Xenopus tropicalis: one gene and its partners. The main gene of each other region encodes a partner of the protein of the gene in region 2 in a complex. Links are inferred from orthologs where the notes say so. Each region holds a gene or a part of one and is shown on either strand. Other genes may lie near its edges.

Region 1 (4,864 bases), on a different chromosome or scaffold from region 2:
GAATGGGGGATAGGGGGGGATAGTTAGGGAATGGGGGGATAGGAGGGGATAGTTAGGGAATGGGGGAATAGTTAGGGAATGGGGGATAGGAGGGGATAGTTAGGGAATGGGGGGATAGGGGGGGATAGTTAGGGAATGCGGGGATAGGAGGGGATAGTTAGGGAATGGGGGGATAGTTAGGGAATGGGGGGATAGTGAGGGAATGGGGGGGATAGTGAGGGAATGGGGGGATAGTTAGGGAATGGGGGGATAGGGGGGGATAGTTAGGGAATGGGGGGATAGGGGGGGATAGTTAGGGAATGGGGGGATAGGAGGGGGATAGTTAGGGAATGGGGGGATAGGGGGGGATAGTTAGGGAATGGGGGGGGTAGTTAGGGAATGGCGGGATAGGGGGGATAGTTAGGGAATGGGGGGATAGGAGGGGATAGTTAGGGAATGGGGGGATAGGGGGGGATAGTTAGGGAATGGGGGATGGGGGGGATAGTTAGGGAATGGGGGGATAGGAGGGGATAGTTAGGGAATGGGGGGATAGTTAGGGAATGGGGGGATAGTTAGGGAATGGGGGGATAGTGAGGGAATGGGGGGATAGTGAGGGAATGGGGGATAGTTAGGGAATGGGGGATAGGGGGGATAGTTAGGGAATGGGGGGATAGGGGGGATAGTTAGGGAATGGGGGGATAGGGGGGATAGTTAGGGAATGGGGGATAGGAGGGGGATAGTTAGGGAATGGGGGGATAGGGGGGGATAGTTAGGGAATGGGGGATGGGGGGGGTAGTTAGGGAATGGCGGGATAGGGGGGGATAGTTAGGGAATGGGGGGATAGGAGGGGGATAGTTAGGGAATGGGGGGATAGGGGGGGATAGTTAGGGAATGGGGGGATGGGGGGGGTAGTTAGGGAATGGCGGGATAGGGGGGATAGTTAGGGAATGGGGGGATGGGGGGGATAGTTAGGGAATGGGGGGATAGGAGGGGGATAGTTAGGGAATGGGGGGATAGGGGGGATAGTTAGGGAATGGGGGGATGGGGGGGTAGTTAGGGAATGGCGGGATAGGGGGGGATAGTTAGGGAATGGGGGGATAGGAGGGGGATAGTTAGGGAATGGGGGGATAGTTAGGGAATGGGGGGGTAGTTAGGGAATGGCGGGATAGGGGGGATAGTTAGGGAATGGGGGGATGGGGGGATAGTTAGGGAATGGGGGGATAGGGGGGGATAGTTAGGGGATGGGGGGGATAGGGGGGGATAGTTAGGGAATGGGGGATGGGGGGGGATAGTTAGGGAATTGGGGGGTAGGGGGGGGATAGTTAGGGAATGGGGGGATAGGAGGGGGATAGTCAGGGAATGGGGGGATAGGGGGGGATAGTTAGGGAATGGGGGGATAGTTAGGGAATGGCAGGAGGGGAATAGTTGATTTTTATCTGGTGTAAAATTCCGACACAACAGACAGGAGCCAAAAGCCCAGCTCTACGCCCAAATCACACCTTGAAGGCGTCTCTTGGGAGGGAACTGAAGGAAACTTCCGAGCCGCCACCTTGGAACTCAGAACTGCACCCAGCGAGTAGCAATATGGCCGCTATGCGCTGAGACACGCCCATTGTTCTGTGATTGGCTACATGGTCATGTGACTGAGCGTTCTTACTCTTCATTGGTGCGTAACCTGAAATAACACTTTATGACGGGCCGGGAGAGAGGTACAAGCAAAAACTTCAGGTTCGGATTGTGTGGGGTGTGAGGAGAAGGGAAGTGTGAGTGTGAGTGTGAGTGTGAGTGTCCGCTCGGTAATGGGTGTTTGTCTGTGGGAGACTGTAGCGCTGTGGGAGACTGTAGCGCTGTGGGAGGCGAGTGTGAGCTCTGAGGGTGCAACTACACGTGTTTGTGGGAGATACAGTGAGTAATGTGGGGCGGTCTCACCGTGATTCCCGGGGGTGTCCCTGAGTGTATGTATTACTCGCTCCTGTACTCATACCGCCGGGGGTTACATTTGGCTCTGGGCCTCCTGTGTGTGCAGCTGTGTGATCTAGTGTGTTTGTACCCCCTACTGTAAATGATAAGGATATTAGCAGTCACTGAGGGGTTCTGTGCCCCCCATATAAAGGCACAAGGCTGCAGGCTGAGTTATACAGGGAACTCTGAGTATCACTCATGTATTATAAGGGATAATGTACCCCCTACTGTAAATGATAAGGATATTAGCAGTCACTGAGGGGTTCTGTGCCCCCCATATAAAGGCACAAGGCTGCAGGCTGAGTTATACAGGGAACTCTGAGTATCACTCATGTATTATAAGGGATAATGTACCCCCTACTGTAAATGATAAGGATATTAGCAGTCACTGAGGGGTTCTGTGCCCCCCATATAAAGGCACAAGGCTGCAGGCTGAGTTATACAGGGAACTCTGAGTATCACTCATGTATTATAAGGGATAATGTACCCCCTACTGTAAATGATAAGGATATTAGCAGTCACTGAGGGGTTCTGTGCCCCCCCATATAAAGGCACAAGGCTGCAGGCTGAGTTATACAGGGAACTCTGAGTATCACTCATGTATTATAAGGGATAATGTACCCCCTACTGTAAATGATAAGGATATTAGCAGTCACTGAGGGGTTCTGTGCCCCCCATATAAAGGCACAAGGCTGCAGGCTGAGTTATACAGGGAACTCTGAGTATCACTCATGTATTATAAGGGATAATGTACCCCCTACTGTAAATGATAAGGATATTAGCAGTCACTGAGGGGTTCTGTGCCCCCCATATAAAGGCACAAGGCTGCAGGCTGAGTTATACAGGGAACTCTGAGTATCACTCATGTATTATAAGGGATAATGTACCCCCTACTGTAAATGATAAGGATATTAGCAGTCACTGAGGGGTTCTGTGCCCCCCATATAAAGGCACAAGGCTGCAGGCTGAGTTATACAGGGAACTCTGAGTATCACTCATGTATTATAAGGGATAATGTACCCCCTACTGTAAATGATAAGGATATTAGCAGTCACTGAGGGGTTCTGTGCCCCCCATATAAAGGCACAAGGCTGCAGGCTGAGTTATACAGGGAACTCTGAGTATCACTCATGTATTATAAGGGATAATGTACCCCCTACTGTAAATGATAAGGATATTAGCAGTCACTGAGGGGTTCTGTGCCCCCCATATAAAGGCACAAGGCTGCAGGCTGAGTTATACAGGGAACTCTGAGTATCACTCATGTATTATAAGGGATACTGTACCCCCTACTGTAAATGATAAGGATATTAGAAATCATTTGTTATGAGCCGAGGGGATCCAGCCTGAAGGCCAATTATAGTGAGTACATTTAGCTTATGTAACTGCCTTATAATCTTTCTTGTTCTTGCCTTGTAGATGACTTCTTAGATGGAGTTTCCAGGCTCTTTGTTCCCCTCATTTTACAGCGAGGGGCCCTGTGCCAGGGAGGCCCCCACTTCCCACTCTGTGTTTGGCCTGGGGGAACACAGCAAAGTCCAGCACAGTAACAGCGCGCAGGTAAGGTTCAGTAGAGACATTAGTTTATTGGGGTTTAGATGGCAGCTCTGGGGATAAGTGTCAGAAATGTTACAAAGGAAAATAAGAAAGGGGATCACATGGGGATGCTTTAGTGGGGGGGGGGGGGGCAGTGCTGGGGAAGGGGGTGGTTATAGTGGTTGCACCCACAGACACCTTGTCATTGTTTTCACAGGATGGTTACAAGTTCATTCCCTTGTACAGCAGATCTGCAGAACGTTGGAGCCCAACCAGCCCGGCACCCATCCCACTGCTGCCTCCTAACCCTGGTAACTCATATGGGAAGTCTCTCAGCCACCTCCTCCGCTTTGGGCCTGGGGGGACTGACCCATAAACACGTCGGTGCCATTAGTACAGTTTGGGCCTAGGGGGGACTGACCCATAAACACGTCACTGCCATTAGTACAGTTTGGGCCTAGGGGGGACCGACCCATAAACACGTCACTGCCATTAGTACAGTTTGGGCCTAGGGGGGACTGACCCATAAACACGTCGGTGCCATTAGTACAGTTTGGGCCAAGGGGGGACTGACCCATAAACACGTCACTGCCATTAGTACAGTTTGGGCCTAGGGGGGACCGACCCATAAACACGTCACTGCCATTAGTACAGTTTGGGCCTAGGGGGGACCGACCCATAAACACGTCGGTGCCATTAGTACAGTTTGGGCCTAGGGGGGACTGACCCATAAACACGTCACTGCCATTAGTACAGTTTGGGCCTAGGGGGGACTGACCCATAAACACGTCGGTGCCATTAGTACAGTTTGGGCCTAGGGGGGACTGACCCATAAACACGTCACTGCCATTAGTACAGTTTGGGCCTAGGGGGGACTGACCCATAAACACGTCGGTGCCATTAGTACAGTTTGGGCCTAGGGGGGGCCGACCCATAAACACGTCGGTGCCATTAGTACAGTTTGGGCCTAGGGGGGACTGACCCATAAACACGTCACTGCCATTAGTACAGTTTGGGCCTAGGGGGGACTGACCCATAAACACGTCGGTGCCATTAGTACAGTTTGGGCCTAGGGGGGGACTGACCCATAAACACGTCGGTGCCATTAGTACAGTTTGGGCCTAGGGGGGACTGACCCATAAACACGTCACTGCCATTAGTACAGTTTGGGCCTAGGGGGGACCGACCCATAAACACGTCACTGCCATTAGTACAGTTTGGGCCTAGGGGGGACCGACCCATAAACACATTTGCTGATGAGAGCTGTGCAGCTAAGAACATAACGTGGAACCCAGTCCCACTGTGCAGAGAAATCCCAGCAGGTTGGGGTGTAGTTACGTTTGGGGGAGTCACACTGTTCCCTGTTTTCTTTGTTCCCCGGCAGGTT
Region 2 (4,236 bases):
TACATTATTATCCCTTCAGGTTTCTATGGCATGTGGCCTTGTGTCTTTTGTTACCCAGCTACACTGTAAATATAGGGAAACATATACAGGTAGGGGATCAGGGCCGCTGCTGGCCAAATGGGTGCCCTAAGCGGAAATTTACTTTTGTGCCCCCTCCCCCAAATATTACGTAAGTAAAAATGAAATACTAAAAAAAAACACCTACTATAGGGGCCCCACACACAGTGCCCCCAATTGCCCCCATAGTAAGTGCCCCCAATAGCCCCCATAGATTGATTGAACTATCCGGGACAGCGGGATGCACTATAAAAACCGGCGGAACATTGTTGGGGGGGTATGTTATAACATATAAAAATGTTTTTTTTTTGGAGCAGCTGGGATGATGCCCCCTTGGGAGTTGGTGCCCTATGCAGACTGAGTACTCTGCTTATAGGGAGCGGCGGCCCTGTACGGGATCCTTTATCCCAAATGCTTGGGACCAGGGGTTTTCTGGATAAGGGGTCTTTCCTTAATTTGGATCTTTGTACCATTTCTACTAAAAAATAATTTAAACCCAATAGGATTGTTTTCCTACCAATAAGGATTAATTATTTCTTAGTTGGGATCAAGTACAGGTACTGTTTTATTATTACAGAGAAAAAGGAAATCATTTTTAAAAATGTGAATTATTTGATTAAAATGGAGTCTATGGAGATGGCCTTCCCCTAATTGGGAACCTTTTGGATGACGGGTTTCCGGATAGAAGATTCCATACCTGTACTTCTGTTGTAAATAATAAGGATATTAGAAGTCACTGAGGGGTTCTGCAGGCTGAGTTATACAGGGAACTCTGAGCATCACTCATGTATTATAAAACTCTGAGCATCACGCATGTATTGTAAGGAATAATGTACCCCCTACTGTAAATAACAAGGATATTAGAAGTCACTGAGGGGTTCTGTGACCATATAAAGGCACAAGGCTGCAGGCCAGGACATTGAATTCCAAGGTGACTTCTAATATCCACATGTTTTACATTAGTTCTTCTTACACACAAAATTGTGAATGAAGTTCAATTACATCACTAAGCACCATTTATAACGGTAAAATTGTAAACAGGCCTTCTCTTTCAACAAAGAGTAAACTCGAAACAATAATTTTAAATATTCTACATTGATTTGACCTGCCAAATACCAGAGGATATGTGTATAAAGTAGTGCCAAGTATAATGTTTTTTCTGCTTTTTGTCCATGTAGAGAGTCTCCCAGGCTGGTGTTAAGGGTCTGCCCAGCATAGGATGAACGGAGCAGCTGGCGGTGTAGCAAAAGGAAACATGACAGCCCCAAAAGATCAAGGTAAGATGATGATGGAGACTGAGATCCAGAAACCTCACGTTTAATGGTCACTGTAGCACTAGGCCTGCAATGAGGGAACCAACAGTTTGTGGGCCATTACATACTCCAGTTAAAGTTCTGGGAGTAACTAAAGTTGGCCGTGCGCAGGCTGTTAAATGCGGACTCAACCCCCCTTCCCCCCCCAGACCAAGTCAGTAGCTTAATAGTCTATGTATGGGGCCCTTAGGAGATCCTGCCCAATCTGTATATCTAGCTGATGTTTGGCTGCTGTGAAATACCGATGGGCCCCCATTATGATCATTTGTGCAGGGGCCAAACTATCAAATGCCCCTGATTTTGCGCACTGCCTTGGTGGCCACATCAAGTAAAGGTCAACTTGTCCCCAAACAAGTGAATCTTAACATGTATGGCCATGTTAATGTTACAATTCAATTTATTTGATGGAGCATAGTGTGATTAACACTGTGAAGTCTCTGGGGTGGCCTTTTCTCATTTGCATACACCCAGTCCATTTTATTGATCTCTCTCCATGTAGACCAATGGTCCCAAGAGGATATGCTGACTCTCCTACAAACCATGAAGTCACTCCTGCCCAGCCAGGACAACTCTAAGTTTAAGACAACAGAGTCTCACCTAGACTGGAACAAGCTGGCTTTCAAAAATTATTCTGGTTCCATGTGTCGCCAGAAGTGGATGGAAATTTCCAATGAGGTACAGTGGGCTAATGAGACGTCTTTCTGTGGGGGGGGGGGAGCCTTTTCTCTCAAGCAATGGGATACTTTCTACAGCAATATATGAGCTTTGTTTTGTGTTTTTGTTCTGTTGATGACATAAGGTCAGGAAGTTCCGGACTCTTACTGAGTTGATCTTGGATGCAGAGGAACATGTTAAAAATCCATACAAAGGGAAAAAACTGAAGGTAACTCTATCGGACCTCTTTGGGTTTGGAATCTAGCCATAGCAGTTTGAATTCCATGTGCATTAACAGCATATTTACCCCAATCCTTTCAGAAACACCCAGAATTTCCCAAGAAGCCGCTCACCCCTTATTTCCGCTTCTTCATGGAAAAGAGGGCTAAATATGCAAAACTACATCCAGAAATGAGTAATCTGGATCTCACCAAGATTCTGTCCAAAAAATACAAAGAGTTGCCAGAGAAAAAAAAGGTGAGTGAAGGACCTGAGGTAGAAGGGGTGTTGAGTGATGAGGGCTGCGTACAACCCATAAAATGTAGGAAAGTTGCACAGAAAGAGGGGTTGGATTTGGGGAGACACACAGAGGACTAATGGGTGGAGGGGGTGGGGTAAAAAATATAATAAGAGAAAAGGCTATAGTTGAACTGTAAAGGAAGAGCAGTGTTGTTTAATGGCATCTTTCCTAATGGTTCTTTCTTCTCCAGATGAAATACATCCAGGACTTCCAGAAAGAAAAGCTGGACTTTGAGAGGAACCTGGCTAAATTCAGGTAACTGTCCATGTGTATGTGTTCAGGAACAACAAAATATTAGCAGAGAAAAGCCACCACATCTTACTGCTTTTTATTTTACCCCCACCTCTTAGGGACGAGCATCCTGATCTCATGCAAAATCCAAAGAAATCTGATGTCCCGGAAAAGCCCAAGACCCCTCAGCAGCTGTGGTATAACCATGAGAGGAAGATCTACCTCAAACTGCATGCTGATGTGAGTGTGCGATAGGGCTTGTCACTGTTGGAGGTGGGGTATAGCAAAACTTGCACTGTCCGACTGTGTCTGACACAATGCCCTGACTGAGTGTGTGTGAACAAGGAAGATGGCATGCATTTGATAGCAACTACCTTTAACTTCACTTCTGTCATTTCAGGCCAGCACAAAAGACGTGAAGGAAGCATTAGGGAAGCAGTGGTCCCAGTTATCTGATAAGAAGCGCCTGAAATGGATCCATAAGGCACTGGAGCAACGCAAGCTATATGAAGTGAGTGCACATTAGCAGAGAGCTGCTGTAGGTCCCATGTTTAGGTACACACTCAGGCTGTGGCCTTCAGGAATGCACATTTGATGTACTATTTCAGGGCTATCCTTTTTGCTCTAGAGCTTATTTTGGGTCCTTTTCCATCCAAGGACCTGCTCTAAACTCTGATTGGTGGGGTTTAGAACCATAGTGATATTTAGGCAGATACATAGCAAGAAGCAGAAATGGAGAGTGCACCTTAGGCCATGGCTAAGTTGTTATTGTTACTGCTCTGCAATAACCCCACTATTGTGTTGCTCTCTGACAAACAGAACATAATGAGGGAATATATGCAGAAGCACCCAGAACTGAACTTAACAGAAGAGGGCATTACTCGCTCCACTCTCACCAAGGCCGAGCGACAACTGAAGGACAAGTTTGATGGCCGGCCAACCAAGCCTCCACCGTAAGTGTGTGTTTGATGTGGCTGTTACCCAAGCAGTGGGCATGTCCTTATTAATCTATCCTACTTCTATGTACAGAGCTTATAGAGAACCTTCATCTCTAAAGATACTGTGGGCCACAACTTCCAGCATGCTTTCTGCTGGGACATGCTGGGAGTTGTATTTCTACAGCATCTGGGCAGACATATAATAGCAGAAGGTCCAAGACAAAACTGATTGCTGTGTGGATGATAAAACTGTGCTAGCTGTGAATGACAGGTGCTATAGGAATAGAAGCTGGTAATGCAAATCTTGGTGACTCTTGATTAGGAATGTCATGTGATTTGGGTAGATCTAAATTAGAAAAGGGCTTATACTCTGAAAGCTGTTGAGGAATTCTGACAGATGTAGTTTGGCATAACTCTGAACCCCACTACTTTTCATTTCCCTTAGGAACAGTTACTCAATGTACTGCGCAGAACTGATGGCCAATATGAAGGATGTTCCCAGCACTGAACGCATGGTCCTCTG
Region 3 (4,895 bases), on a different chromosome or scaffold from region 2:
CACTATCTACATTATACTAAAAGTTATAGTTAAACTTAAAACTACCCCTTTAATAGAACAAATTGTCCCTGCATTTGCAAAATTAAAACCAATTGTGGGAAAAAGGAAACATTTCTATGTGATACCTTATATACCACGGTTTAGATCATTTCAGTGGGCCTCACACCCCCCAGTCTGGCACTGAATTATTGCTAAACTCATGCTCAGCAGTTCCTCATTATAAAAAGAAACATTGCAATTCACTTTATTTCCTACAGTGTAATCCAGGGGTCCCCAAACTTTTTTTAACCTGTGAGCAACATTTAAATATAAAAAAAAATGTAGGGAGCAACACAAGCATGAACAAAGTTCCTAGGCAGTGACCAATAAAGGCTGTGATTGGTTATTAGATGGCCCACTGTGGACTGGCAGACTACAGGAGGCTCTATTTGGCAGTACACATGGACTTTAGGTCTCCAAAACTTGACTCCAAAAAAAAATAAGCACCTGCTTTGAGGCCACTCAGAGCAACATCCAAGGGGTTGGGGAGCAACATGTTGCTCATGAGCCGCTGGCTGGGGATCACTGGTGTAACCCATACATGCCTATATTTAAAGCAAGAGGCTTATGAAGTATGCTTAGTATTGGGGTGCACACATTTTAGCATGATCCATAAAGCAAGGTTTTCAAAAGCAAGATTTAGGGAATTTGCAGTATCTGTTTTAATACAAATATCCTGCTTCCAACCAGAAACCAAACCAAACTATTAGGCTGAAACAACCAACAGCCAGGAGACAGTTAACTGCTAAACTATTTCAAAAACCACCAATAAAACCTGTAATAAAATCCTCACAATGAAATATTTCTGTTCACCTGAATCCTCTCTGGAGGGTCACCTGGAGACTATCTCTTGCTCAGGATCAATGAAACTGAGCTAAAACTGGAAAACCTGTAAACCCCCCACTTTTTTTCAAATGTGTTCCAAAGGTCATGTGATAAGTACCCATGGTGCTTTTCTTCAGTCATACCCATGATGCCTTTGTTCAGCCATTCCAATCAACTAATTAAAGTGATGAGTGGAAATTGTGTTATTTCTAAAAAAAAAAACTTTGTTATAATGTCAGCCTTTATCTAAGGTTGGCATTAGATAAATTTAAAATAAGTAGTAATGATAGCATTAGTTTTCCTAAAGGATCAGTAACAAAACATTGTTTTTGGCACCAAGTGGTATGATAGTTTCTTGATTCACTGTCTGCACATATAAAAGCAAATTCCGGCACAAAAGCATGTTTAGAGTACATTTTTCACAGCAACAATAGTATATAAGACAGGCGTCCCAGCAACAAACGCCATACCTGAAATCCATAATAAAATCAGAAAATTCATACTATTATATAAATAAATGACACCATACAATCACTTTAATAATGCAGAATAGCAACGGTGCCTTTCTGCATAGTGAAAGAATACTAGCATACTAATAAAGCTTGGAAACATATAGTTGCCCACACTAAAGATGGCCGTCGCACACACGCAGCGAACGTCACGCGTAGGAGCGCTTTCTGATGTCGTAGGAATCGTGCGCCTCGGATGTTTGGTGCATGCTGAGTTGAAAGCAGTGCTGTGCCGATATATTGTAGGCCGAGTAGTCACATTTATTGTATGTAGTGACGTTACGGTAGGGAGAGTGAGAGAAAGGCTGTAACTGCAAATTGACTTTTCTGCAGGAATAAAATACCCGCAATTTATGTTATTCAGGTGAAAAAATGGAAGGCCAGAAGGACGCACCTCCTCCTAAGCAGCAGCCGATGATATACATTTGTGGAGGTAAGGTTTTTCTCTCAAAGCAGTCAGTTTTACTCGGGGGTGCCTTTAGAGGAAGTTATTGGATTCAAAAGACATCAGGGACCTACAACTTCGGCTCCTGGTCACCTGCAATCCCAGCATCCCACCCTGAGTTTTGCCAAAAGTGCCTAATATCCTAAAGAGAAGTTATATGCCCAAAAAACCCTCCAGTGAATATATATATTCTAAACTAGTTGAACCTGTGCCATTTTAATTAGTTTCCCATAAGTCCCTTGCACTGAGCATATGCATTACTTTTGGTTCTGTACATCTGTTTCCTGTGTTTGGGACTAGTCACTAGGAACTATTGGGATACTGCAGAAAGATGGAGGCATGGGAGCTCCTGTATTCACTAGGGAGCTGAATTGGATAAATGTGGGCTTTTAAATGCCATTGTTGGTCATGAATTAAAGGGAGCCAATTATTGATGAAAAAAATGATTTCAAGAGGCCCTGCAGTTTCCAGCATTCTCAGGAGAGCTGAATGATACTGGTGATTGCAGTGCTAGTTTAGATCATGTTGAGAATGTTAATTGGCTAGTGTCTGCAAATGTCGGGATAATATTAAGAGAAGAGAGTGCAACTACGAATCAATAGCGAGCTACCACTAGATTGAAACATTGGATACAGGCACCCAGACAAGACCCCCTCACAATACCCAGAATATAAACATCTTATTTTTGTGTTGTTCCATTTGAACTCACAACAGTCCTTGCAGACATTGTCTTTTTACAAGACTTGTATATTTATCTTAGTCTTTATCAACATTGATTTTCTTTAGATTTTAAACTGCATGTTATTTTCTCTCATCTTTATTTAGAATGTCACACGGAAAATGAAATAAAAGCGAGAGATCCAATCAGGTGCAGAGAATGTGGTTACAGAATAATGTACAAGAAAAGAACAAAACGATGTATCCTTTTTTTCTGGTTACCTGCACATTTACTCCAGACTGAATGCGTGTAGGAACGGAGAATGGCCTGTAAAATAGGCTTGTATTAAACTTATTTCCATTAAAGGGGTTGTTCAATTTTATGATATTCTGAGACAGTTTGCAATTGGTCTTTGTATTATATGTGTGTGTTTTTAATTATTAAGCTATTTGTCTCCAGATTGGAAATTCAGCAGATATCAGGTTGCTAGGGTCCAAATTACCCTAGCAGCCATGCAGTGGTGTAAATGAGAAATACTAATACAAATAGGAGAGGCCTAAATAGAAGGATGTAAAAAAAATAGCAATACAAATAAAATTGTAACCTCAATAGTTGTTTGGATTCCCACAGTGGCCCCAAATCAAATTAAAAGCTAAAAAAAAATAAAAATAAGAAATGTTGACCAATTGAATAGTTTAGCAACTGAATTGCTAATTCTAAAACATACTGAAACATAATTGAAGGTGAACTTCCCCTTTGAAAAACATTAATTGTTTTTGTTACCATTTCCACTAAACTGTGCAGAAAGTGTAATTAAAGAACTTTCTTTTTGCAACTATTTTTTCAAAACAATTATGGAAGAAGGAAAAAGCATTTGATCAAATAATGCATTTTATTAAAAGAATAAGCAAAATAAAATCTAAGCAAAACGTTTGACCCCAATGTGTGTCTCTGCTCTGTTAGCTATGGTGCTTTCCATTTCGTAATATGAGGAGAGTTAAGGTTGTTGAAACCGCCACTAACGTTCAGGGCTGAAACGGCAGATAAGGAGGTAGAAACAATATGATTTCTGCCGACTCAGCCCTGATGGCAGATTTTGCTCAGACGCCTTCTATGGCGCCCGATCAAAATCTTTTAACCTGGCCGATCGGCGAGTCGACCGATATCAGCAGCCTCCTGTGATATCGGTCGACTCGGCGACTTGCCAAACACGCATCAAATATCGTATGAAACAAGGTTTTGTACGATATTATCGGTGCGTGTATGGCCAGCTTTATGGTGGACAGGGGTGTTTTTTCCTCCAGTGTTTTTTTGGAGTATGGCAGCAGTAGAACAAATAGTTGATGTGCCATAAGCATTATTCAGTCACGAGAGGAAGATTAAGGGAGAGCTGGAAACAAATTTAAAGCCAAAAAGTACTTTGTAAAGGGGAACTTCACACCATACATAACAATCCACTAAATTGTAAAATGGATTTATTTAACATCTACTGCAAATTTATTTATGGTACATGAGTGCTACACTTTATTTTCCATTATCTGATTCAATATTTCCTTAATTCTTTCAATTTCAGTGGTTGTGTTTGATGCTCGCTGACCTGGATAAAATTCAGTTACATGTGTCTGACATCTGCTCTACATATATATATGATTAAGTTACATATATATCAGATTTTGTTAATTAATGATAGTGTTCCTTGTTCTTGTGTAAAGCAAGGTATTACATGTTTTGTAATAAAGATTTTTAGAATTTTGTTTTTGTAAACATAACTCGTTGTCATCAGCGTAATTCTTTCTCAGTAATGAAAACTGCTGCATATCACCACCTCTCTGGTCTTATAATGAAGTTGCAGTCCAACAGGTCCCTTTTAGCTGCTGCAAATCCTGTCAGTATGGCTGTATTTTGCTGTGCCTACAACCTAATTGGTTTCCTGCACCTACCATATTACTGTAAATATTACATCATAAGAAATACAATCTTGCTATGCGGCTGGATGTTCTGCTCTAAATGACACAGTCAAACAAGTGTGGGAATGAAAACAGAACAAATTAAGATAACAGGGTCAGGGCTGCATAGTATGTAGGTACTATAAAGCAGGTAAGGGGGATTGATCAAAGGGAAAGTACACCCATTTTCAACATTAGCTCAATGAATAGGGCTTGTGCTGAACATACTTTTTGCCTGTTGCTTTAATTATGAAATATCTGTGTTTTCTATATTATCTGGCACAAAACAATAATATATAGCCAATTTCACTTTAGTATTTCTTGTCACTTGTGGTCCCAAAGAACTTCAAAGGAGCTAATAAAACTAATTACCAGTCCACTGAGAACCCCCTGATATTTAGCTGCTCAATGGCTGATGCTTAGAGAAAAATGTGTTTTGTTTGTTAAAAGGTAAATAGTAAGCTCTGAACACA

The links. The genes of interacting proteins can lie anywhere in the genome.
Region 1: ubtf (region 2) and taf1c share a complex: the UniProt entries of both Homo sapiens proteins name them as parts of the pol I pre-initiation complex. The link is inferred for Xenopus tropicalis from reciprocal best matches to the Homo sapiens genes UBTF and TAF1C.
Region 3: ubtf (region 2) and polr2k share a complex: the UniProt entries of both Homo sapiens proteins name them as parts of the pol I pre-initiation complex. The link is inferred for Xenopus tropicalis from reciprocal best matches to the Homo sapiens genes UBTF and POLR2K.

The regions. Positions count from the first base shown.
Region 1 is NC_030677.2:215,209,427-215,214,290, forward strand, and holds the start of taf1c (TATA box-binding protein-associated factor RNA polymerase I subunit C), read left to right. Parts: upstream 1-1,600; 5' UTR 1,601-1,707; exon of another isoform or gene 1,708-1,742; intron 1,743-1,789; exon of another isoform or gene 1,790-1,884; intron 1,885-3,360; 5' UTR 3,361-3,372; coding exon 3,373-3,501; intron 3,502-3,694; coding exon 3,695-3,788; intron 3,789-4,861; coding exon 4,862-4,864. UniProt on the Homo sapiens protein: Component of the transcription factor SL1/TIF-IB complex, which is involved in the assembly of the PIC (pre-initiation complex) during RNA polymerase I-dependent transcription.
Region 2 is NC_030686.2:18,518,732-18,522,967, reverse strand, and holds part of ubtf (nucleolar transcription factor 1), read left to right. Parts: intron 1-1,235; 5' UTR 1,236-1,276; coding exon 1,277-1,334; intron 1,335-1,869; coding exon 1,870-2,045; intron 2,046-2,169; coding exon 2,170-2,253; intron 2,254-2,345; coding exon 2,346-2,501; intron 2,502-2,734; coding exon 2,735-2,799; intron 2,800-2,894; coding exon 2,895-3,015; intron 3,016-3,175; coding exon 3,176-3,286; intron 3,287-3,594; coding exon 3,595-3,728; intron 3,729-4,158; coding exon 4,159-4,236. UniProt on the Homo sapiens protein: Recognizes the ribosomal RNA gene promoter and activates transcription mediated by RNA polymerase I (Pol I) through cooperative interactions with the transcription factor SL1/TIF-IB complex.
Region 3 is NC_030682.2:128,131,170-128,136,064, forward strand, and holds polr2k (DNA-directed RNA polymerases I, II, and III subunit RPABC4), read left to right. Parts: upstream 1-1,631; 5' UTR 1,632-1,745; coding exon 1,746-1,806; intron 1,807-2,643; coding exon 2,644-2,736; intron 2,737-4,049; coding exon 4,050-4,072; 3' UTR 4,073-4,243; downstream 4,244-4,895. UniProt on the Homo sapiens protein: DNA-dependent RNA polymerase catalyzes the transcription of DNA into RNA using the four ribonucleoside triphosphates as substrates.